Pelodiscus sinensis: one gene and its partners. The protein of the gene in region 1 binds, or shares a complex with, the protein of each later gene. Links are inferred from orthologs where the notes say so. Each region holds a gene or a part of one and is shown in the gene's direction. Other genes may lie near its edges.

Region 1 (7,957 bases):
GGCTTAAAGTGCAGCAGGGGAGGTTTAGATTGGACATTAGGAAAAAATTCCTAACTGTCAGGGTGGTCAAATATTGGAATAAATTGCCAAGGGAGGTGGTGGAATCTCCCTCTCTGGAGATATTTAAGAACAGGTTAGATAGACATCTGTCAGGGATGGTGTAGACGGAGCTTGATCCTGCCTTGAGGGCGGGGGGCTGGACTCGATGACCTCTCGAGGTCCCTTCCAGTCCTATTATATTCTATTAAACCTTTGAAACAACAACAATATGATTTGATGACACCAAAAAGATATGTCTGGACTCATCGTGAATCCCGAGATCTAGTTTATAATCGCCAGGTGATCAATTCCAAAACATATAAGCCTTTGAGAGGTAATACTAATCGATGGGAGGTTAGGCTTCCCATTTTTAAGAGTCAAATGGTCACAATTCGAGTAGAGCAAGATCATCGGGTTTGCCATCTATTTGTTCGAGATGAAATAGAAGGCAATATATTATTATATTTTACGATGGGTAAAGATGAGACTAAAGCTAATGGTTTTACCGTCCCTGGTTGGTTAAATATGCTAGTAGATACGTCTCCATCCAAGAAATGCCTATGGACATTTGTTAACCCCCATCTCTGTATAAATGAAACCATGGCACATGCATCATCAGACATACATAATAGACGATGTCTGACCAATTGCAAAATAATAGCTCCTAGGTGGACTGGTTCAACGTGCGTATATCTGGACGTTCTGTATCATCCTATAGTGAAGCCAGGACAAGTCGTATGGGTGATAAAATTTTATCACGATCATTTTACTACGACTACAATAGATGCTACTGTTATATCACCAGCAAGAGTAATTCGTGCCACAGTGCCATTGACCTGTGCAGCAAATAGATCACCACACAGAACTAGTCAGTTTGCTGCATCACCAAGCTGTATAGTAGATCCACAGCCAGCTAGTTATGAGTGTACTGGAGTATTTATAGAAAACATCACGGAATCCAACACCTGGACGGTGTTAGGATTATTCGGGGTTAAATTTCCAGTGAAAATATTAGTAGCTGAAGAGCCTGACCGTCATGAAATTGGCCCTTATGTAGTTAAGACCAATATGGCTCGGCAAGTGCTTATAGAACCCAAATACCACGTCAGATGGGTACACGTGCCGATATCTTCCTACGCCACCGACGTAAATGAAAGGCAGGGGGCAGGAGAGCATGACAGTATGTGGAGGGATAACTGAAGTGCCAGAGCTTGATATCTTCTTGGCCAAACCAGTCAGGATCACCTGTCAGAGGTTCCAAGATCTACGGGTAGATCTTGATCTACTGGTTGGTGACCACTGCTCTGAAGGAAATAGAGTGTATCCCAATAAAGAAAAGCTCTGTGAGGTGCAGACATGCCAAAGCAGTCATTGACATGCCAACACCGGAGCTGGAAAATGCAGGGGGAAAATTACCTACACACTGTTGTTGTTGTTGTTCGTCCATCGTATTCGAAGAGGACCTTGACATCTAACAGGTTGCGGACTGTCCATGGTGTGTCCGCAAATGGCTGATAAGGCCGATACGGGCACGGAATGTTCTGCCACATGTCGGGCAGACATGTGTGGGCACCACTGTTGCAGCTTTTGCAACTCTGGCTTTACGGAGTGCTCGCTTCTCTTGTGCTATGGTTCTCCTTCTGGCTTCAGATGTTTGACAGCCTTGGTACATCAGCGTGTGCCATGTTGATCGGTCTTGTGCCAGGGTCTCCCAGGAGGTGGTGTCAATATCCAGGGACTTGAGAGAGGCTTTAAGCGTGTCTTTGTATCGCTTCTTTTGTCCCCCGTGCGATCGCTTACCTTGAAACAGCTCACCATAGAAGAGCTGTTTAGGGATGCGATGATCTGGCATCCTTGCAACATGGCCTGCCCAGCGTGTCTGAGCTTTCATCAGCAGGGTGTAAACTGATGGCAGGCCTGCTCTAGAAAGGACTTCTGTGTCTGGCAACTTATCCTGCCACCGGATCCTCAGAAGTCTGTGAAGGCAAATCGTATGGAAGTGGTTTAGTTGCCTAGCGTGCCTCCTGTATACAGTCCAAGTCTCACTGGCATACATCAGGGTAGTTAACACTACTGCTCGATAGACTTTAAGCTTTGTAGCAAGGCTTATTCCACGGCGGTCCCACACTTTGGTCAGCAGTCTGCCGAAAGCAGAGCTTGCCTTGGCGACTCTGCAGTTGACCTCGATGTCAATTGTCACTGTGCGGGAGAGGGTGCTGCCAAGATATGTAAATTGGTCCACTGCTTGCAGCTTTTGTCCCTTCACTGTGATGGTGGGCACTTGATGTTGAGCTTTCAGAGCTGGCTGGTGCATCACTTCGGTTTTCTTTGTGTTGATGAGAAGGCCGAAGTTGTCACATGCTGCTGCGAATTTGTCCATGCTGGCTTGCATTTCCTGCTCTGATCCAGCATTCAGGGCGCAGTCGTCAGCAAAAAGGAGATCTCGTAGCACAGTCTCCTTTATCTTGGTGACAGCCTGGAGTCTTCGCAGGTTAAACAGTTTCCCATCGGTCCTGTATCTCAGTCTGATTCCCAAGGAACTGTTCTGAAAGGCGTCTGACAGCATGGCTGAAAACATTATGCTGAACAGGGTCGGTGCCAGCACACACCCTTGCTTGACGCCGTTTGTGACGGGAAAGGCCTCTGAAGCTTCTCCATCATCTAGAACACGAGCCGTCATGCCGTCGTGGAACTGACGTACCATCAAGATGAATCTGTCAGAGCACCCAAACTACGATATGATGCGCCACAGACCTTCGCGACTGACAATGTCAAAAGCCTTGGTGAGATCCACGAAGATGGTGTACAGTTCACAATTCTGCTCTTGACACATCTCTTGGAGCTGTCAGGCTGCAAAGATCATATCCACCATGCCACACTCTTTGCGGAAGCCGCACTCTGTCTCGGGTAATAAACCCTGTTCCAGGTGGTCAATCAGACGATTCAGCAACACTCGTGCAAGGATCTTACCTGCGATGGAAACCAGTGATATTCCTCTATGATTATCGCAAACTTGTCTATTTCCTTTCCTCTTGTAGAGGTGTACGATGGGCGCATCTTTCAGTTCCTGAGGAATAGATCCTTGATTCCAGAAGGACTGGAACAGCTGAGTGAGTTTGTCGACAAGCACTGCACCACCACCCTTATAGACTTCCGCTGGGATCGCATCAGATCCTGGGGCCTTGCCACTGGACAGCTGGCTGATGGCCTGTAAGGTTTCAGTTTCATAAAGAAAAACTCTATAAGGTGCAGACATGCCAAAGAAATGCTGAATAGAGAAAAGCAGTCATTGACATGCCAACACAGGAGCTGGAAAATGCAGGGGGGAAATCACCTACACACTATAGCAGGCATAAAGCACAATGGACAAACAAGTACCAAATCTCCTCAGAATACACTTGAATCCTTAACCCAATTATCTCACAAGTACTTTATGCAACTGGACTGGACTCTTTGGAAGGTATTATTAATAAGCGTTGGTAAAAAAGCAATGAAGGATTATATTCTCCAAATGGTGATCCTTTGCTGACTGTGATTAGAAAAAAAAAGAAGAGTGAAAGTAACTTAAAATTTTGTACAGGTACCATCCTATTGCAACCCAGTTCTCTGCTGGCTTTTGCTACAGCTCAGCCAGCTGTTGCCCAAGGTGTATCGACTTACTTTCATCTCTGGAACAGACTCAAACATTTGGAGAAAAGGAGAATGGCATGCCAGAACTGTTTGAGGACCTGTTTCATGCTCCATCCACAATTTCTGCACTGAATGGTCTAAAATCCCCTGGAGCTAGGTCACTTTTCCCAGGCTCCAAACATTTTCCCTTACCTATTCTTCCTTTGTAAGGGGCAAATCAGTTAAAAAAATCAGTATCATATTTTTCTCTTTCCATTTAAGATATCACGTGCTGCTTCAATAATAGCTGCCTCCCTTTTTCACAAATATCTGAAAACACTTTTCAAAGAAAAGTCTTCACCTAACAGTTTTCCATCTCTGAAAGTGGTTTTGAGTAAAAGCTCACTTTTCTACAGTTACTGTTTCATTCTTCTGGATTTAAAAAATGTTCCATTTAGTACAAAGGTCAGTTTAGTGTATCCTGACCTTGATGCAATCACAGTACATCTAAATTTTAAAAATCTAGCATAGTGGGGATGAAAAAGGAAAATCTTAAAAGACCACAAACTATCTCTATGCTACAAAAAATACTATGAAGTACAATTCTGCCTTAGCTGTCATGAGTATTACAGTTTCTCACTCTTTTCTGCAGCAAGCAGCAGAACTTGCAGAGGAGCCAGTTTGCCCTCTAATTAAACTATTTTAAAATGGCATGTTTAAAATGGGGCATTGTAAGTGCTGCAGCCCTGATAATGGCGAGGCAGTGATGAGGACGCACCATCAGCATTACTCAGGGGTTGGTTAGGGCTAGTTTCTAAAATGCTGTTGCTGGGTGCAGAGCCCACAGCTGAAACCAACACCCTGAGGATTTGTTTTGACAGCGTGCTGTGCCCTGCAATCATTATGGCGCGAGAAGGAAAATGTTCTGCGAGGTCAATCAGGGCTAGGTCCTGCTAAGCCACCTGAAGCCCCAGGACCTAGGCAAAGTCCTTCTCCCCGCCAGAGCTGGAGGGGACATGGGCTAGCGCCCAGCTTTAGTCAGCAGAGGCGGGGCACGGTACCCTTCTCCCCTCGCTTGACATCGACAGGTGGGTGGTAAGTAGCTCAGCGCTGACGCAGGCCACCCCCTCGAGTGACACCACGTGCCAGAGCGCAACGGCTGCCTGGTTCTGACTGACTAACCGCCAAGTCTCGCGCCCAGGCTTCCCGCGCGCTCTTTTTCCAAAAGGGGTGGGGAATCCCTGGGCGCGAAATCCCCGCGCATGCGCGCCACACGGAGGGACGGTGTGGAGGGGCCACTAATCTCTCCGCGTGGGCCCTATGCGAGGCACGTTACACCTCATGACGTCAGCGCGCAGCGTCACGCCGGTGGGACGTACAAAAGTGTAAGTTTCAATTTTTTTTTCTGCCAACGGAAATTTTTTTTCCAGGGCCGCATCCGCGTGCTGAAGCTGGGGAGGGGCGGCTGCGCCCCCCCGCCCCCACACAGGGAGCCCTCCGCGAGGAGGGGGGAGCCTGCGCAGGTGTGCAAGGAGCAGGGGGCGCAGCAGAGGGACCCCAAGAGGGAGGATGGAAGGGAGGGAGAGTCGGGGGGCAGAGAAGAGTGAGGCTGACAAGGGGGGAGGGGCGGGATCCCCTGATTGGGGGCTGGCGCCGTTGACAGCCCTGCCTTCTCTCTTACCCTCCCCCCCGTTTGGAGGCCCGCGAGCTGCACATGTGCAGTCGGCGCCCCCCCCCCCCTCCCGCCGCCGTGTCTCCGCAGAGCGGCGCTGTGTGGGAGCGGGCGGGGGACGCAGGGAGCCTGCTCTCCGCCGGCGGCCGCTCAGGTGCAGGCACCGTTCGGCGTGTGGGAGGCGCTGCCGCACCGGGGGATGGGTTTGGGCGGGACGTGGGGAGGGGGCGCGGGATTTACCCGGGGGGGGGGTTCCCCATACTGGGGGATGGTGCTTCTCCTGTGGCAGCCGAGCCCAGCGCCTCGCGCGCCCACTCGCTAGCTTGGGCGGGCTGGTGGGGCCCCGGGTGAGGGGCTGGTGGGGCTGCCAATCTGTGAAGAGCCTCTGAGGCGCCCCGGCCTCCCCACGCACCAGCGGCCCATCTGGCTGCGCCCGCCGGGGCTGTCAGGGGACTGGCCCCAGGGGCCTAGTATTGTGGGGAAGCTGACAGGTCCGGCATAGGGGCCTCCGGCCTCGCCTGTGGGATGGTGTTGCGGGGAAGGGGAAGAGCTGGACTGTGGCCGACCCACTGTGGGCTTAGGCTGCCAGTCCAGGCCGCCTGCTGGGCTCCTCCGTGTATGTTTGGGATGAGGAAGGCCTTGGGGCTAGGGTGCGAGCTGAAGGGAGGGTCCTTTCTCTGGGGGGATTGTGAGGCCTTTCTCCCAGAGTAAGTTGTTGATGCCAGAAAACTTTTTAAATATTACGAGACCATGCTCTAAAGTAGAGGAATGTCTGCATGCAGTTAATAAATGATGGACTTTTGCAGTTCACTGTTACAGCTAGTGTTGTCTTGACTTTCTTTGTAGAAAATATCACAGTCCCTGTTTCCTTCTGTGGGTGTCAGTCATTTAAGAGACTTGATTTCTAAGCATTGGTAACATGGCAAAAGATGTAAGTATATTTGTTTTGTATTATCTGGGAACATGAGTGATAGAATATTTCCATGTGCTTAAGACAGAGCAGGCCATACATACCACAACTGGCATTAGGGGAAATGAAGACCTCCTTTTTGTCTCTTATTTAAAATGGGTTTGCAGTGTATCTGTTTTCACATAGAAAGTTTAGAATAGACTTACTAGCTTTTGTATTACAAAAAGGCTTAACGTTTTACACAATATGCACATTTGTTCTGTGCAACAAAACAAAAAGCCACCATCTTGCTGAAAAGCATTTGATGCAGGCATTTTGCATACTTGTAATAGAGATTGTGAAAAGCAGTTTTCACTATTGTGCTGGGTAATTAAAGTATTGTTCAATCTGAGCATTGTCAGTGAAGTACCTTTCATTAAGTTACCTGCTTGTTGATAGAACAGGTACACTAGAAATGCCACTCAGTGTTGACCTGCTGTTAAACTATGTTTAGGAAATATCACATGTTTAAGGATAAGAGGTTCTTTCAGTCTCTATGCTTATTTTTGCCTTTCTTCTGAAACAGACAAAAGGAACCTAGTTAAAGTCAGTAGCAATTAGACTATGTGGGGAGGAAATAATTGCTTCAACCTATCCGATTCAAGCCACTAACATAGAAGTGGGTGATAATAAGAGGGTCTGTTTATTGAGCCATCTATTCTTATAGCTCCCATTTTTAATACCTCTTCATCAGAAAAAATACTAGCATGTATTTAAGTTAGTGAACAGATTAGTTTATGATTAACAGTCCTCATTTACTATCATGAGACTTCTGTATTTAGATGTTACATTGCTAATAAAGTACTCTGGTACTCTAACTTTTGCATAGTAATGTTTTGCATGTTCTCTGAAAAACACAGCATTTTTAAAAATTGTCCACCCGGGTACATTTGTCAGTGAAACTTTTATGTTTGTCACAGGAATGTTAAAATGTGGTTAATTGACCCTGCTGGAGCTCTTGTACATTTCAAAGGAGGAATGCGGAACTCCAGGTACAGCCTGGGGCCAGTGGACTCCTGGCTGCACACAGGTGTGCTTGCTTTGAAATGTACAAGAGTCCCCAATGAGGGTCCTTGTTCATTTCAAAGCCTTGGTCAGCAGGGGGGCTCCCCAGAGGACCCTGGTTCTTTGTAGCTTTCAGCAGAACCATGGATCAGCAGGGGACTCCCCAGCTGAGTCCGGGTTCTGGGGAAATGCTGTGTGGAGCCTGGGGTCAGCAGGGGACTTCCAGCTTCAGTGAGTTAAAGGGGCAGTGCAGCACAGCTGATCCCCCGGCTCAGCTGTGCAGTATTGCCACTTTGAAGTACCCCTTCCTCTTCCCCCTCCCTGCCTCTATCTCATAGAGGCAGCAAAGGGGGTGGGGGAAAGTCGACAAACTATCTGTTAAGTAAATGCTTATCGGATAGGCGACTAGTCCTTAACATCCTTAGTTTGTCATGGACATGGGGTTTATGTCATGCTTCTGACAAGTTGCGCTAACTACAAAAAAGTTTGTGGGAGAATTTAGAAAATTAGGAAATGAGGAGAGAACAGGATAACTTGCAAATTTAGTGTATGGTTTAGCAACAGATAACTGGCGTACTACTGATTGCTCTTTCAGTTTTTGAAAAGGTAAAGAAGAATGAGCCTGGTAATTACTGTTCAAAGCCTAACTTCTGTCTTTAGTGGAATCATAGAATACTAGAACT
Region 2 (7,860 bases), about 52 Mb from region 1:
ATCATCACTGGTATAGTTTGTAGATTACCACTCCCTCTATTTTTGGGTTAACAGACAAACCAATCTGAAACACATGGTAAACTGTGTGCAAGCACACAATATGGGTTTTAATATGGCTAAATGTATAAATCTAGGAACAACGAATGCACTCAGCTGCATGTGAGGTCCCAGGGTGATGCTCTGAACAAAAGAGCTAATTGTGATTGTAGAATGCATAAACAAGGGAATCTCAAATAGGAGTGGAGAGGTTATTTTGTGTCTGTATTTGGCACTGGTGTACCGTTGCTGGAATAACTGTACCATTCTGAATCTGGTTCTGGTAGCAACAATTCAATGATGCTAAAAAACTGGAGAAGGTCTGAACAAGAGCCTGAAGAACAAGTTAAAGGATTAGAAAACATGCTGATAGTGACAGACTCAGAGTTAAATTTGATTATCTTAGCAAAGAGTAGGTTAAGGGATAATTTGATTACTATTGATAAGTATTGACATGGAGAACAAATATTTAATAATGGGCTCCTGAGTATAGTGGAGAATGTTTAACACAAGCCAATGGCTGCATGGGTAGTAAGTGAACCTTGGGTTGGAGAGTCAAGCCTCCAGCCTTGCTTCTTTTGCTCAAGCCCTCTACCCAATAGCAGTCAAGCCCTCGCCCCACCACAGGGCAGGCCTCCAGCCCGCCATGTGAACCCTCCCCTGGTCCTAGAGCAGGGGGAAGACAGGTGGCATGCAATCACAGCTTCTGCGTGGCTGGAGCTGGGGGCAGCTCCAGAGCAGCAATGAAGCAGGGGTGCTGTGGAGGCCAAGTGTGGGCAGGGCCATGCCTCAGTCTTGGACGGCAATGCCTTCCCCTGCTTCTTGTACCCACTTCTTATGAATGAATTTTTTTAGTTTCAACTTCCAGCCAACCTGGAAATAAGGTGTACATTTTTAACACTGGAAAAATGTACCAAGTATTGTCAGTGATGGAGATTGCTCAACAATGTTTACATAAGATATATACGGTAATAGGAATTATTTTGGGGATGACTTATAAGAGAGGTCAGACTAGATGATCACAATCATTTCTTCTGGTCTTAAAAATCTATTAATTCAGTTATCTAAAGAAGACATTCAAAGAGTATTCAATTAAATCTGTCCTTTAACTCACCAATTTCAATACTTATTAACTGTATTATGGTAGTATCTACAGGTCCTAACTAAGATTGGATCCTCATAGTGCATTGTTTCATAAACATATTAAGAGTCAGTGCTTTCTAGAACATATCATTACCTAAATTAGACAGAGAAAAGTGTTGGGAGAAAATATTATCTGATTTTATAAATGGAGAACTGAAGCAGGGGAAATTAAATGACTTTCTCTGTGTCTCACAGAAAGCCTTTGGCAGAGACAACAATGTATCCCAGCTATTTGAGATCTAATCCAGTGTTTAGCCATATGGTCATCTGTCCCTCCTTCAGCCTAGGTTTAAATCTGGTAACTAAAATGCAGAAGTGTATCACTAATTAATTTCTCATGTACTATATATATTTATATGGACTAAAAAAAACTCAGTTAAAATTACAAAAGCAAGCATTGGACAGTTAAGAAATAATACAGTAAAACTCCAATAGTCAGGCACCCGATTGTCCAGCACTCCCGATAGTCCGGCATCAAAATGGCAAGCGCTTCTGATGGAACCGGAACTGCTCAGGTCAGCTGCTCTTACCTGGGTCACAGCAGGGAGCTGAAGTGTTTTTCTAAGAAGAAGGGGAGGGGAATTGGATTACTTATGGCATCCTGGCCAGCTTCTGGAAAAGCTGGCCCCTTAGCACATGTGCTGGCTGTATCTGACCAATCGTAAGGTTGGGGTGGGGGAGTGGGATCGGGTTATAGCAGGGAGCAGAAGTGTTCTGCTAAGGGGAGGAGGATCGGGTTACTCATGGTGTCCCAGCCAGATGATTTGGGGGGGGAGGGGAGGTAGGGAGATTGGGTTGGGAGTATGCAGTACCTCCTGATACTCCGGCATATCCGATAATCTGGCACCACCTAAATCCCAAAGGTGCCGGATTATTGGAAGTCAACTGTAGAATTAAAGCTGCCCATGCAATTTGATTTGGCCCCCTTCTGCATATGCATTATGAAACAATCCTTTAATTATGTGATCAGGTACCCCTGTTTTCAACAGGAACCCTGCTTTAGCAATACCCAAGATACAAGATTAACATTATTTTAATGTGCGTGTGTATATGTAATTTCCTAGATCTTTTAAAGAAGAAACTAAAATAAAAAACATTCTTTTATATGAAATCATACCAGCTCCCCCTATAGATCATCAGCTGGACTGGAATCTTTAGCTCTACAACACAGACCTTTATCCCTTAATTGATAGTGTGGCTCCAGGCCAGCATACAGCAGCCATACCTACAGAGCGAGAACAAGGTTGGGTTAAAACCAACCTTTGCATACATTTTAAAAAAAAAACAACCTACCATCCTGCACTGTTTGAAGGATGGTTTACAGAATCTAGTCCTTTATGTGCAGTTAGAATTTTCTTTAATACTGAAGTTACTTGAACACATTCTAGATGGAGCTGGTAGCACTACCCACAGTTAAGGTTGCCTAAGAACTTCCTTGTAAGACCCAATTTTCAGTTGCTGTTAATGTTACTAAACCTTACTTGTTCAGGTTGAAATTTTTCAGGTGTCTGCCTCAGACAGGGGTATCGTTCAGGGAACCAGGAGAGGGCACGTACACCTCACACAAGGGGTGGGATGGTCCTGGGGCCCAGTCTCTGGGCATCCAGGGGAGTTAGCAGGGGAGGGCATGATGCCAGTAGCAGGGATCCAATCCCCCTGCATTCACCAGCAGTGGTGGGGGCAGGGAAGCGGAGTTATGCAGCTTTAGCTTGCTCTGCTTCCCACTGCTGAAAGTGAGGGTATGCCGCCCCTTCTCCAAGCAACATGCTGGGACAGCAGAACAAGCCGGGATAGTGTTGCTTCACTCCCCCCACTCCCAGCCACTGGGGGTGTGTGTGGGGGGGGGGCTGGACACCAGCTGCCAGCACCCTGGCCCTGCTTGTCCCCTGGGTTGCATTAGTTGGGGGAAAAGGCAGTGCAGAGCAAGGGCAAGGAATAGGAGGACATGGAAATTCACAAAGGTACCTGGGTGCCTTATAAATATATTTGTTTCTTTTCCCCTCTGCTTGTTTACTTTAAAAATAACATGAATGTAAAAATTGGTCTCCTCTGGATCTGCTACTGCTAGAGGACTTTTTAGGCTCCCAGCAGAGTGTACTGTGACCTCTACCTATGCCTCACTTGAAGAGCTCTTGGTCTTGAACTTTGATCAAAGACATCACTTCTCCCAAGTGTTCACTAACCTCTGGAGTTTCAAACTCCAGGCACCTCCATGTGTGTGTAACTCTGTAACCTGGACAGGCGGAACCAAACCGGGGATTGCTGTAGTTTAGCGCATGAGCTTCTAGTGCAGAGCTGGGGAATCTAAGGCCCAAGGGTGGGATGCAGACCATGGCTTGCCTGGATCGGGCCTTTGAGACTCATAGCTCCCCCAGCATTGGGGAGTCCATTGTGGCACTCCAGCCTCTCTGCTGCCCCACAGTGGAGCTGGAGCATACAAAATCTACTCACCTGGGCCTCCCTAGGCTCTGGTGTGTGAGGGGAACGTGGGGAGTGTCTTTCTTCTTCTCAGTTTGGGGACCAGTCAATGAGAGTTTGCCCCTTTTTGTTTTCTTTTTGTGTGTGCCCACCCTCTGATTTTTTTCCTTTGGGTCAGCAGCCCCTGACCCCAAAAAAGGTTCCCCACCCCTTCTCTACTGCGTGAGCTAAAACCCAGCTGGCTCTCAGGTAGGGTTGCCAGATGGTTTCCACAAAAATACCAGACACACTTGAAATTACATCAAAATTAACATTACATCTTATTTAGAAACTATGTCTACACTGGGAGCTTCTTGCGCAAGAACTCTTCCAGAAGAGAGAGTCTACACTGCCATGTGCTTTTGCGCAAGAGCATCCATGCCAGTGTAGACGCTCTATTGTGCAAGAAAGCTCTGATGGCCATTTTAACCATAGGGCTTTCTTGCGCAAGACATTCATGTTGCCTGTCTACACCGGCCTCTTGTGCAAGAACAGCTGCGCAAAAGGGCTTCTTCCCCAGCGGGAGTGTCAGAGTTCTGGCGCAAGAAGCCCTGATTTCCTACATTAGACCATCAGTTTACTTGCGATCACACGGCCAGTGTAGACAGGCAGCAAGTTTTTGTGCGAGATCGCACCAGTGTAGACCCAGCCCCAGACTTTCATATTTTCTGAATTTGTTTTTTAAACAGACGGCCCAAATACTGGACTCTCCCGTTCAAAACCGGACACCTGGCAACCCTACAGGAAGGCTGCAGAGCAAACTAATTCTCCCTGTAAGTGGTCGGACAGGACAGCTCAGCCCACAGGTGCGTGGGTTACAACGCCACTTGGCTCCTCCCTCCCTTCCCGCTCGCCCCCGCTCCCAGGCAGACGGAGCTGAACCGTCTATAGCTTCTAGGAACGTAACTGGCAAAATAAACTGTTGACAACAACAAACCAGGTCCGCTGAGCCCCGCCCCTTCGGCACCACCAGCAACAGCAGCCGGGAGAGCCCCCGCCCCGACAGTCATCAGCTCTTCTATTGGCTAAGGGAAGTGGGTGACTTGATTGGCCGAAGGGCTTGCGCTCAAGCCTCCGTTGCCAAGACTCCGAGTTTCTCTTCCGGGTTCTTAGCCTCATTCTGTGCGCAGGCTCCACCCCCTTTGAATACGCTCCCTGTCCCTTTCACCCCTCTCTGAAGCGAGTTGTGGGCTGGGAAGTGACGCGTACGCTCCGCCCGGTGGGCGGGGCGGACGTGACGTGTTTTCCCGCGGTTTGAGTGGTCGCTGTTGGGAGCCGGTTTGTCCGTTTCTCGTCTCCCCTCTGCGGTGCACGTTTAAACTTCGGACCCAACAGTTGCGGCTCCGCGCGCCCTTGCGCGCGCCCGACCGACATGCCGCCCAAGCCCCCCCGGAAGGGGGGAGCCGCCGCCAAGGGAGGCAGTACCCCGCCACCTCCGCCTGCCGCTGCCGCCAGGTGAGAGTCGCCAGCCGCTTCCTCCAGCCCGGGCTCTAGCCCCCGCGGCACCGCTTTTCTGCTGCTCCGGGAGCGTCCCGGGTGAGGGCAGCTCTGCTCTGGCGAACGCGGAAGCCCTCGCCGCTTGGTTGCGCATCCCTGTGCGGGGTGGCTGGGAGGCTGCCTGCCCGGCTTGGGGGGGGATGGCTGGTACGGTACTGGGCGCTGCTGAAGACGGGTCCGTAGGTCCCTGGTGCTCGCGTGGGCAGAGGTTGCTTTGGCCGGAAAAACAGCCCGTTGGTGTCCGCCCAATCGGCGGTGCCCGCTGGGCGAAAGGCTCCCTTAGCCTCGCTGGTGCTGGGGCCTGTCAGCTGTGGCCAACTGCACACTCACCGCGGTGTGAGATGTAACAGCGAAGACCTGGCTCTGACTGACGAGAGGCTCGAGCAGAGGTTAAGCATTTTATGCTGATGGAACCGTAGGATTGGCCTGTTAAGATTCAGGCAGTAGAAATGTGAAAGGTAATGCAGGGTCCTGCCTGGGTTCCTGATTGCTTCCAGCTCTTTGGCTCCCAAGCTTTCCAAGGTCTGCTCTAGTGGGCTCACCTTTAAAGGACAAAAATGTGCTGCTTTATCTGCTACAGATAGATGACATCCGATGTGCATGCATTCAGCATTTCAGGATTGTATGAGTTTTAGATTAGAAATTCCAGTGTAAAACCAATTTCTTTGGTTCCCTGCTAGTCACTGACCTTCCTTCAATCCATTCCTGGTTCTTGGGGTCATAAGTAGAGACCTGTACAACTGAATATCTCCTTTATAGCCATTGACGTTTGTGGATCAGATGTGGATGCAGATGCTCAGTAAGATGGGTTTTCTCCAGAGAAATGTCACATTCTAGCTAATGTTTTATACTTTATAATCATATGTGATACATTTTCATTTAAATGAACCTGATAGTTAATCATCCATTTCACTCTCTTTTAGGCTTGAGTTTGGAGAAACTGGCTTTATTGCACTGTGTGACACACTAAGAGTATCAGACATTGTGAGAACAAATGCTTGGAAGATGTATGAAAAAATGTCCCCTACTGATGGAACTTTAGTGAGTACTTGGTAGAGTTAATGCTTACAGTGACTTGATTTAAAATACTGAGCTCTGGATCCGTGCTTAGCCTAACATGTTGCCTTAGCCAAGAAGCAAATTGGTAAAAATTGCAAGTTATTTTAAAATGGAAATGCTACAGTGGTATCATTCTGATGCAGGTTTATATCAAGGTCAAAAAGTACAAAGGTTGCTGTGTACACACATCTGTGTAGATTAACTTGCATAACCTCACCTTCACTAAATATGCCAATTAAAAAAACCCCTTTAGTTCACACTTACTCTAAATGGTAGTTAAACCAGCACTATGTGACTAATCACATCCAGACCACATGTTATAGCTGTTCCCCACTCTGGCACTCCAAGTGCGGAAGATGAGGGCCTGCACAAGACTATATATACCTTGCCTCTGTAGCCGTGGTCACTAACCCATCAATTGTGAGGCATTTGGGGCCTCCCCATTTTCCCCCACCCTCAAGAAGCCCCACTGTCCATCTCCAGTGACCCTGCAGGAAGCCGGTGCTACCTCCATTGTGGATAGGAGTCCTGCAGCTGCGTGCCACTTCTGGGGTTTCAGGAAGTGTGCTGGCTGCACCCCCTCCCCCAAACAGCTAGTGCGGTACCAGACCCAGGTCTGTGGCATGCTGGGGACTTCCTGCGGGGGGCTAAGGGGGCGGAGGAGTCCCTGGAGGAGGGTGTATGCTGGAATGAGCTCCCCCTGCAGTGGGTGGGGGAGGCGGGAGGATGTAAAAGTCTCTAGAGCAGGCGAGTGCTGGGATGAGCTTCCCCTGCAAGAGGGAGGGGGTAGGAGTCCCTGGAGGGAGGCAGAGTGCTGGGACGTGCTTTCCCTGCGAAGGGGAGGGGTCCTTGGAGGAGGCGAGTGCCAGGGACTCCTTGTTGCCTGCCACCACCAACACCCTGTCCCCTGCTGCAGCACCCACTGACAGCCTGCTACCTGTCCCATCAGCCACTGGTGCCCTGCCTTAGCACCCTGTCCCCTGCTTCAGCCCCCACTGTCACCCTGTCCCCGTCTCTAGCATCCTTCCCCAATACCATGTCCTCAGCTCCCACCAGCACTGTTGGGGCCACATTAGTGAGGTTGGGGGGTTTTGGAGAAGGTTTGTGTGTGGTGGTGTGTGTGTTTTTTTTTTTTTTTTTTTTTTTTTGCATCTCACTTGTGTGGCCCCAACTGACTTTTCTGTGGATCAGTGACCCCCTGACTCAAAACAGGTTCCCCATCCTTCTCGTACCCAAATCCCTCATTCCCACCTCAGAGACTGCAGCTCCTGTCTCGACCCAGTGAATACGGCTAGACTGCAGGAGTTTTTTTCCGAGATACCAGAGGTATCCCAGAAAAACTCTTCTGCATCCAGAACATGTTTGTGCTTCTGCTTTTTTTTAGCCGAAGAGCAAATATGCTCTTTCAGCAACCCCTATATTCCCTGTTCCAAGAGGAATAAGGGGGCTTCTGAAAGAGGGTCTTTTTCCTGACATTTGGCCCAGTCTAGAGAGGCCAAATGTTGAAAACCTCTTCCTACAGAAAAATCAAGGGGGGGAGGGAGGGAGGGAAAGGCGGCAGTGTAGCCATACCTTGAGAGAGTATAAAGGCCAGGGGTAGTAAGTGATGGAGAGGAGGAGAACAAAGAGGACAGGGCTTCAAGGAAAGAGTGGAGTCTTGGGGGCGGA
Region 3 (7,960 bases), on another chromosome or scaffold:
CCTCCCTTTGTTCATTGTTGCCCTATAATTTGCCTGAAAACTGAATTTAAAATGTACAGGCAAGTGCTGATCTTTCTGTAGCTCTCAGTTCAAAAAAGAAAATGATCTTTTCACGTACAGGGGGACAACAGCCAGGAACAATATTGCAGATTCTGTTTAACAACAAACAAGATCTGGAATAGATCAAAGTAAAAGGACCCAGGTTCTCCAGTGAGGTCCATTCCCTTCCTCCTGGGCACAGAATTAACAGCCCAGAGAGGCGTATTAAACCATCTCGCCCCAGAGCAGGATTGTTACTGTCTGTATAACAGTGTACGCTGTGGTGATTTGTCCAAGCTGCTTTCAGTCACTCCAGTGACAGGACTTCTGCTACCTCCTCCTCAGAGACCTGATTCCACTGCTTAGCAGACCTCATGCTGAGAGAGGTTTTCTTAGTCTTCAGTTTGGCCTTCAACACTAGAGTATATAAACATCTCCCAAGGATTTAAATAGAAGTAATCTCCTTCCTTATTGTCTTCCTTCCTTCTTGGCCTGCAGAAGCAGCTTGACTAATGGGTAGGCTTGTCAATGTGTGGAAGGCTTATTAAGGAATCATCACCGCCCAGGAAAGATCACATTTAGTCCTGAAAGCGGTGAGGCCCAGGGCATGAAGTTCCCAGTCCAGCTCCTGTCAATGTCCTGGCCCCTTCACTCATAAGCTTCCACTTCTTGCTTACCAGTGCCCTGCAGCTGTTGAAGAACAGGCTGATCATAAAGGGAGAGGTGCCTCTCTGGTAGGTAGGGCCAGTCTCATGGAGGGCTTGGAATATCAGAGCACAGACTGTTCATGGGGCAGCCAGTGCAGAGAATAGACCATTGGGGAGTTCTGACATCTACGGGCCCATGTTGCTGCATTTTCTGAAAGCTGAAGCTATCCCTGGCTCTGCCAGTTCATTCCTAGATATGATGAGTTGCAGTTACTGAGCCTGGAGGTCAGGATCATGTGGCTCTATGGCCACGTTTGCAGGGTAAGATTCAGGTTGTGAGGGGCCTAAGATTAAGGGGAGCGAAGGGCCTAAGTATGAATTACAAATTGAAAAAAATAGTGAGAGGTCCTGTGGCACCTGGGGACTAATCAAAATATACAGAATCCTGAGCTTTTGTGGGCAAAACCCACTTCATCCAATGAATTGGAGTGGAAATAGCAGAAACCAAGAAGTATATATTACAGCAGAAGAAGTATCTGTAACTTGTAGGACCCGTGTTAATGAGGCTAACTAAGTGGGCTGGATGTGTCCCATTAATAGCTTTTGATGTGAAAATGCCCACATATCACAGCCGGCTACGAAGTGAATTTAAAATCCCTGAGAGAAACATTGTGTGTTGAGCTTTCTCCAAGGATTTTGCAACCCCCTTAACAGCAAAAGTTGTGTTCCCCTGTGGAACTAGGCAGAGCAAAAGGGAAGAATTGGATTTCCTGTGCATGCCAGTACAGAAAACATACATCAAAGAAAAACAATTGGATTATTTTTTTAGCACAGTTCAATACAGTATTGAAAACAGTGCATCATAAATCTGAAACTCCTTGGTGAAAGGCTGCTGTAAAAGTCAGAGCGCTGGTATCCAGAGTGGGAGGGTTGGTTTTTCTCAGTGGGTGGGAATTCGTTCATTATACATGGGATGAGGGCAGGGGCCATAGTTCAGGTTGGAGCTGGATGGAGTGTCTATAGATTCTGTGCAAGATTCCCACTGCATTGGTACTGCCTTTTCCTTGTGCCCTGCTCCTCCCCACCTGCCACCTCTAGGCACTCACCAGTTGCCCAGAAATGGAGCTAGCACTAGGACCAGGAGAGAGCGTCCTGAAGCTGTACTTGCCTGCCAGTCTCAGCGGGGAGGGACACAGGCCTAAACTGGGTAGTCTTGCCCTCTCTTCTTCCCTCCTGCTCCCCCCCAACAGCCCAGCAGAGCTCTGGAGAAATGGAAGATGGGGAAACAGGGAGGGGAGAGACAGTGCCTGCTCAAACTACACCCACAGCAGGCACAGGTTCCCATAGTAACCAGACCACGTTTTTAATCTCCGTTTACCACTGTTAACCTGTCCTGCAGCAGCATGGGGACAGACAGAGCCTCCAGGGAACCCGGGAAGCAAGGGACCGTTGCCAGCAGCCGGCTGAGCTCCTGCTAAGCTCCAGGTGCTGCTTTACTTTTCCTGCTGGCAGGAGTGCTCCCAGGCTCCAGCAGGACTACCTGAGCAAACTTACTCCACCTCTCTCTCCTGCCCTGGCCCTGCCCCCTGTGTGGCCTGGAGGGCCTAACGCTATAGCCTTATCAGCCTAATGGTTAACCTGGCCTTGCAAGTTTGTATCCCACAGGGCAGTGGTCTCCAACCTTTTTAAGCACAAGATCACTTTTTGAATTTGTCAGTACAGGATCTACCTCAAACCCAAATAGCCCTGCCCTGCCCCTTCTCTGAGGCCTCGTCCTCTTCACTCTGTGAAGATGGGGTACAGGAGAGGGGGGCGGAGTAACATAAGTGCCCCCTGCCTCTGTCTCCCCCACCCTGCACAACAAGTAGACTCCTAGGGAGTGGCTCCGAGGCTCTTGGCAGGAGCAGCAGGGCAGTGAGAGGAGGAGCAGCTGACATGCAGGCACTTGACAGCCTCCCAGCCAAACCAGTCAGGATCCCCTGTCAGAGGCTCCAAGATCTACTGGTAGATCTTGATTGACTGGCTGGTGACCAATGCCGTATGGTGTGGCATTGTTTTGTGACTAGGCACAGAGGGAAGCAAGTTTTGCCACCAAGCCACTTTGACATCCAGTAGTACTGTGAAGTCTGAAAGGCCCCAGTGGCTGAAGGCAGATGTAATCGGAGGGCAGGTGATCATGTTTTAAAGGGAGATGTTAGAGGAGTTAAATTCTTCAAAGCACTCTGCATGTCCTACCAACATGATTTCCATCCTGCCTGGGGTCAGCACTAGCCAGTCTCTCTATCCAGGAGCCGACCTTGGCTAGGCAGTGGGGAAGTTGCAAGATGGTGCTGTTCGATGTGAGAGGCAGAGATGGGTATCATCTGTGGGTTGCTGGCATACGATAAAGTGGCACTGAAGGCTTTGGAAGTGGAGAAGCAGCTGCTTGTGCCACACTGGGTTTGTTCTGTGGGAAGATCATGAGCTGTGTCGTGGCATTGCCATGCAATCCTACAGCTTCTTGGAGTGAGCTGCAGAAGTGTTTGGTCAGCATCAAATTCCAGCAGGCCGAAGATGGAGATAATCCTTTGTCTATGGACAGGAGGAAACCATCCACCAGAGCCACAAGAGTGTATGGGCAACATGGTCTGTCCCGGAGGGGAATCCAGCATACTGGCAGCCAACACTGAGCAATTCCTCTTCAGCCCTGTCCTGAAGCCAGATGTATTGATCAAACAGGCTCGGGTTTGGGTGGCTTTCCTTTCAAAGATTTTTACAGTCTGCCCCAAAAGGCAGCTTTATGGAGAGCCCCTAGTAGCATTAGCACGGTCAAGTTTCAGATCCAGCCTTCACAGCTGCTGCAGCTCTACTATTGGCAGCAGTGGTGAGAGCTACAAGGTAGATAGGGGGGCAGGAAGTTTTATCATCTAGCTCTCCAGTTTCTCCCAAGGGTGGACAAGGCCTGGAAGGTTGGCCTCAGCCCAGATATCAAAGGAAGAAACTGATTCTGAGGTAGATTGATTTTTATTACAATTAAAAACTCAACCCTCTGCTAAACCGAATTACTGAAAAGCAATAGAGGTATAATGAAAAACTTTGAAAAGCATGTGACTTGCAACCAGTTCTATCCATGCACCTGTAATGCTGCTCCTTGTCCACAGGTATGTGGGGGGGGGGGGGCAGATGTATCCCTATGTGCCCACACATATTTTTGAAGTTCTGTATTTTTTTACCCTCAGTTTCTATTATTGAACAGACTTTCATGGAGATTATAGCTAAATTGCTGGCATACCATCCCTGAGTGGAGACCTCTAACCTAATCTAGCCGAAGCCTGAAGAACACACTGTGTAGAATGTAATTAGAGTTCGGAACTTGGAGAGTGGGTGTGAAATGTGGGGGCAAGAATAGCAAATTGAACTTTGAGAACGAGGACTCCCCTGAGAGGGAGCGGATCTGGATCAGTACCTACCCCCTCGGGAGGTATCCATGTGTTACATACAGTGTTATATAGTTGTACTATGTAGCTATTACTCATGGATACCTCCCGAGGGGGCAGGTACTGATCCAGATCCGCTCCCTCTCAGGAGTGTCCTGGTTCAGATCCGGGCCCCCTACAAGGAAGGGGAAAGGAGAAGGGTGTCTGCCCCCTGCAAGCCGGGCAGGGTGTTTCTGTCCGCGGACACCCCCTCCCCAAACAGCGGGAGTGAGGGGAGCAGAGTCTGCCGGGCCTGGTGCCGGGGACCCAGCGAGCAGAGCGGCGGGGCGGGGCGGGGGCTGCCAGATGGTTTCAACAAGCACACGGGGCACACGTGCCATGACGTCACAATCGACATCCCCTCTGAGTTGGAACACACCGGAGCGTTCTATTGTCTGTCCCCGGCCGCGCGCCGGACACCTGGCAACCGCTGTGCCCGCGGGAAGGGGCGGGGCGGCCGCGCCGTGGGAACAGATGGGAGACGGGCGAGGCGACCAGCCCCCGCACCTGCCCTGGCCGCGGCGTCCCCCAGCTGCGCGCTGATTGGCCGCCCCCCCGCCGGCGCAGCCGCTGCGATTGGCCGGCTGTCAGAACGCTGGGCTCGTCACCGCGGCGCCTCGCGGCCGTCCGGGCCGTAGCCAATGGCAAGGCGGAGCGGCGCCCCCCGCCCGGCGCGGCGGCCAATGGCGAGGCCGCTCCCCGCCGGCGTGTGGCGGACGCAGCCAATGGGAGCGCGGACGCGGCGCTCCGGCGGCTTTCGCGGCAAAAAGGATTTGGCGCGCAAAGGCGCGCGGGGCCGGCAGCGGCGGGGACAATAGCCGGGCCGGGCCGAGCCACCGAGCGGCGAGCGGCGGCCCCGGGCAGGGGCGGAGGCTGCGGAGCGCGGCCCGGCCCCCCCGAGCATGGGGCGCGGCCCCGGGCCAGGCCCCCCCGGGCCGGCGCCGGGCCGGTGAGCGCCCCGCCATGTCTCGGGAGGGGCCGGGCGGCGGCGCCCGCGTGTCCGAGCTGGCGGCGCTGCTGGGGGGCGCCGGGGCCCTGCACGCGATGGAGCAGCAGATCGTGATCATCTCCACGCCGGACGCGCCGCCCCCGCCCGAAGCGGAGCGCGAGGCCGAGCTGCTGCTCTTCGCCACCCCGCAGCCCCCCCGCCCGGGCCCGGCGGCGCAGCGGCCCGCGCTGGGGCGCCCTCCGGTAACGCCGCTCGGCCGCGGGGCGCTCCCGCCTCGCTGCGGGGGGGACGAGGGGGGAGAGGGAGTCGCCCCCCCCCCCGGGGTCATGGGCTCCAGCCTCACGAGCGTCCCGCGCCCTGGGCTCGCTGACGGGCCACCTGTAGCCGGGGGGGGCAGCCCTGTCTGGTGCCAGATAAGGCTGGGAGCTGCCCGTGCGGTGGCTGCAGCTCTCCGGCTTCCGGCTTCCCGCGATAAAGCTCCCAAGCGAGGGAGGAACCGGTAGTAATGTGCGAGCCAGGCCTGGCGAGAGCCAGGCTGCCATTAGCGTGTGCAGAGCAGAGCTCTCTGCCTTCCTGGCTCAGCATTTCTGCTCCCAGCTCTTCACCAGGAGACATGGGCTCATAGGGGACCTGTGAATTCTGGCTTTGAGATCTCCGCTCTCGCATCACACACAGGAGTGACCTGCCCTGCTTCAGTGGAGAGGAATGGGGATTGGGCATAAAATATGCAAATACATTAATAATAGAGGGGGAGACATACACCAGTCATCACAATGTCTGAAAATTGTACTTCAGAGCCAAATCCACTGTGTGGATTGTGTCTCTAGACACACTTCTCAGATTATTCTCAGGTCTCAGTGTGTTGTGATGATACTTTAATGACTGTGGCAGCAATCTGCAGGATAAAGTTAGTCTTGTGAAATTCTGCTTGTCCGCGATGGGAGGGCGTGTGTATACATGCTCAGGCATGTAACTAGAGCCCTGCGCAGATACAAAATTTTGTATCTGCATCTATAGATGCAAAAATATGCTGAGGTTATCTGCATCCACATCCACAGCTATCTGTAAATTTGCAAGATTCTAGATACGGAATCTTCAAGAATGGGCCGTGGACATCAGCATTCACATCCACGGATGCAAATACCTGTGGGTATAAAGTGGGTATCTATGGATTTCCAGGGCCCTACTTGTAACTTCTAAATAATTGTTAGGATAAACTCTGGAGCAGGTGTTGTCTTCTAGTGCATCTGCATGAGAGGGCTTTCATTGTGATTGGCACCTCTGGATGCTATTGTAGTATAACAAATACTGACTGCTGTGAAGTATGGAGGGCTGACCTTTGCATCCATGCAGACACCCATTGTGTTCAGTGGGGCTCCTGGCAAGAATCTGCCCTTGTAGTTCTTGGTGCAAAATCAGGGTCCCACAAGGCAAGGCTGAACCGGAGCCTTCCTTTCTTTTGGTTTCCCGAATTTGTTTTCGACACATACGCACGGGTCAGACCAAAGATCCATCTAGCCCGGTACTCTGCCTTCCGACAGTGGCCAGTGCCAGGTACCCTAGAGGGAGTGAAGAGAAACAGGTAATCATCACGTGATCCCTCCCCTGTCATCCATCTCCAGCCTCTGGCAAAGGCTGGATAAATACGTAAATAACTACCACCGGCAATTAGACTGAAGCGAAGTGACAAGGGCTTGCATTTCTCCTTCATCATGGCACAAACAGAACACTGTATGGGATCCTTCTTGTGCACTTGGAGATTATTTTGAGCCATCATTTGGCATTGGCCATGGTCAGTGAATGGATCCTGGGCATAATGGGCCATTGTCCCAGTATAACATCCCCAAGCTTTTAGTTCAGTCGAAAGTGGGTGGGGGGAGGAGGAAAAGACCACAACATGCTTTGATAGTTAAACATACCATCTTCCAGAGGCTTGGAGTTTGAGGGGCCGGCGGCAGCTTTACAGCTGATCCTTTGTTTTAATTGTTTGGCTCAAGAATCCATAATGAGCCAAAATTCCCTGTTTGCTGTCTCCCTGCTTGTGGGGAGTGGGTGGTTGTGCTGGAGGCGCTGCTGGTTTGCATGGTTGGAGTGCGGTTTCATGGAGACGCTTTGCTGGTGAAACCCTGAAACCTGAGCTGCTTTTCTCCTAACTGTAATCAGCAGCCTGGTACCCATGGGCAGCTCTGCACCTGCACCTCTGGCAGGGCTGCAGCCTGATGTTTGTGGGCAGTGAAACTCTAAACACCCTAGTGTGCATGAGCAAAGAAAGGGGGCAGAATTATTGTTCTGAGGTCCCCTGGGTGCTTTTCAGCAGTGCACTGGAATTTAGATAGCTGATGGTCAGCTGTCTAGGGCAGTGTGAGCAATAGCTCACTTGCTCCACGATCACTCAAGGTGAGATACTTCCCTCCAGATACATGTCACTGGGCCTTGGGGCGGGCGGGAGGGAGGTCTCGAATTCATCTGTTTCTGTGCTGTCAGACGGTTTCCTTCTAGTAATAAAATAGGCCCCAATGACCGAGTCTCCGCCTCCTTCCCAAATGTCTCCTTCATGAGCCAGATCCTCTTGTACTAGAGGCAGGGTAGTAACCATGCACAAAGTCTTGAAGTTCTCTTGTCCCTGTGGTCCCAGGCAGATAGCTGGAATGCTGGTCTGAGCTGGCACCAATGGGTGATCAAGTCAGGCACTCCACTTGGGGTTATCCTGGAAGGTTCTGATCGCCGGTTGGTGCGTAGCTTGGATCTTTGTGAGCATGTGAGCGGCATTGTGACGGCTCGTTCTTACGAGTGCTGCTTGTGTGAAGCAAGTGGGTGAAGTCTCCCATCCCTGTTTTGGTTTCTCCTCTTCTGGAGCACATCTGCTTAGC

The links. Proteins that work in one complex are often made in the same cells at the same time.
Region 2: the proteins of TFDP1 (region 1) and RB1 are in contact, whole or in part, in a crystal structure (PDB 2AZE), measured with the Homo sapiens proteins. The link is inferred for Pelodiscus sinensis from reciprocal best matches to the Homo sapiens genes TFDP1 and RB1. Residues at the interface, in NP_009042.1 of Homo sapiens: Gln222, Glu225, Leu226, Gln229, Ile262, Val271, Asp273, Asp288, Asn289, Thr290, Phe291, Glu292, Ile293, His294, Asp295, Glu298, Arg302; in NP_000312.2 of Homo sapiens: Ile835, Ser838, Phe839, Thr841, Ser842, Phe845, Gln846, Ile848, Asn849, Val852, Cys853, Asn854, Ser855, Val858, Leu859, Lys860, Arg861.
Region 3: the proteins of TFDP1 (region 1) and E2F1 are in contact, whole or in part, in a crystal structure (PDB 2AZE), measured with the Homo sapiens proteins. The link is inferred for Pelodiscus sinensis from reciprocal best matches to the Homo sapiens genes TFDP1 and E2F1. Residues at the interface, in NP_009042.1 of Homo sapiens: Glu201, Cys202, Leu205, Glu206, Glu208, Arg209, Arg212, Leu213, Arg215, Ile216, Lys219, Gln220, Gln222, Leu223, Leu226, Ile227, Gln229, Gln230, Phe233, Lys234, Leu236, Val237, Arg239, Asn240, Arg241, Glu244, Pro251, Ser255, Val256, Ile257; in NP_005216.1 of Homo sapiens: Arg202, Leu203, Leu206, Thr207, Asp209, Leu210, Leu213, Gln214, Ser216, Glu217, Leu220, Asp221, Leu223, Met224, Ile226, Cys227, Thr228, Gln230, Leu231, Leu234, Asp239, Ser240, Gln241, Arg242, Leu243, Ala244, Tyr245, Val246, Thr247, Cys248.

What each region holds. Positions count from the first base shown.
Region 1 is NC_134711.1:237,051,865-237,059,821, reverse strand, and holds the start of TFDP1 (transcription factor Dp-1), read left to right. Parts: upstream 1-4,888; 5' UTR 4,889-5,033; exon of another isoform or gene 5,034-5,171; intron 5,172-5,331; exon of another isoform or gene 5,332-5,474; intron 5,475-5,787; exon of another isoform or gene 5,788-5,811; intron 5,812-6,166; 5' UTR 6,167-6,239; coding exon 6,240-6,251; intron 6,252-7,957. UniProt on the Homo sapiens protein: Can stimulate E2F-dependent transcription.
Region 2 is NC_134711.1:288,848,911-288,856,770, forward strand, and holds the start of RB1 (retinoblastoma-associated protein), read left to right. Parts: upstream 1-4,810; 5' UTR 4,811-5,008; coding exon 5,009-5,091; intron 5,092-6,056; coding exon 6,057-6,174; intron 6,175-7,860. UniProt on the Homo sapiens protein: Tumor suppressor that is a key regulator of the G1/S transition of the cell cycle. The hypophosphorylated form binds transcription regulators of the E2F family, preventing transcription of E2F-responsive genes.
Region 3 is NC_134728.1:34,324,809-34,332,768, reverse strand, and holds the start of E2F1 (transcription factor E2F1), read left to right. Parts: upstream 1-4,910; 5' UTR 4,911-5,104; coding exon 5,105-5,332; intron 5,333-7,960. UniProt on the Homo sapiens protein: Transcription activator that binds DNA cooperatively with DP proteins through the E2 recognition site, 5'-TTTC[CG]CGC-3' found in the promoter region of a number of genes whose products are involved in cell cycle regulation or in DNA replication.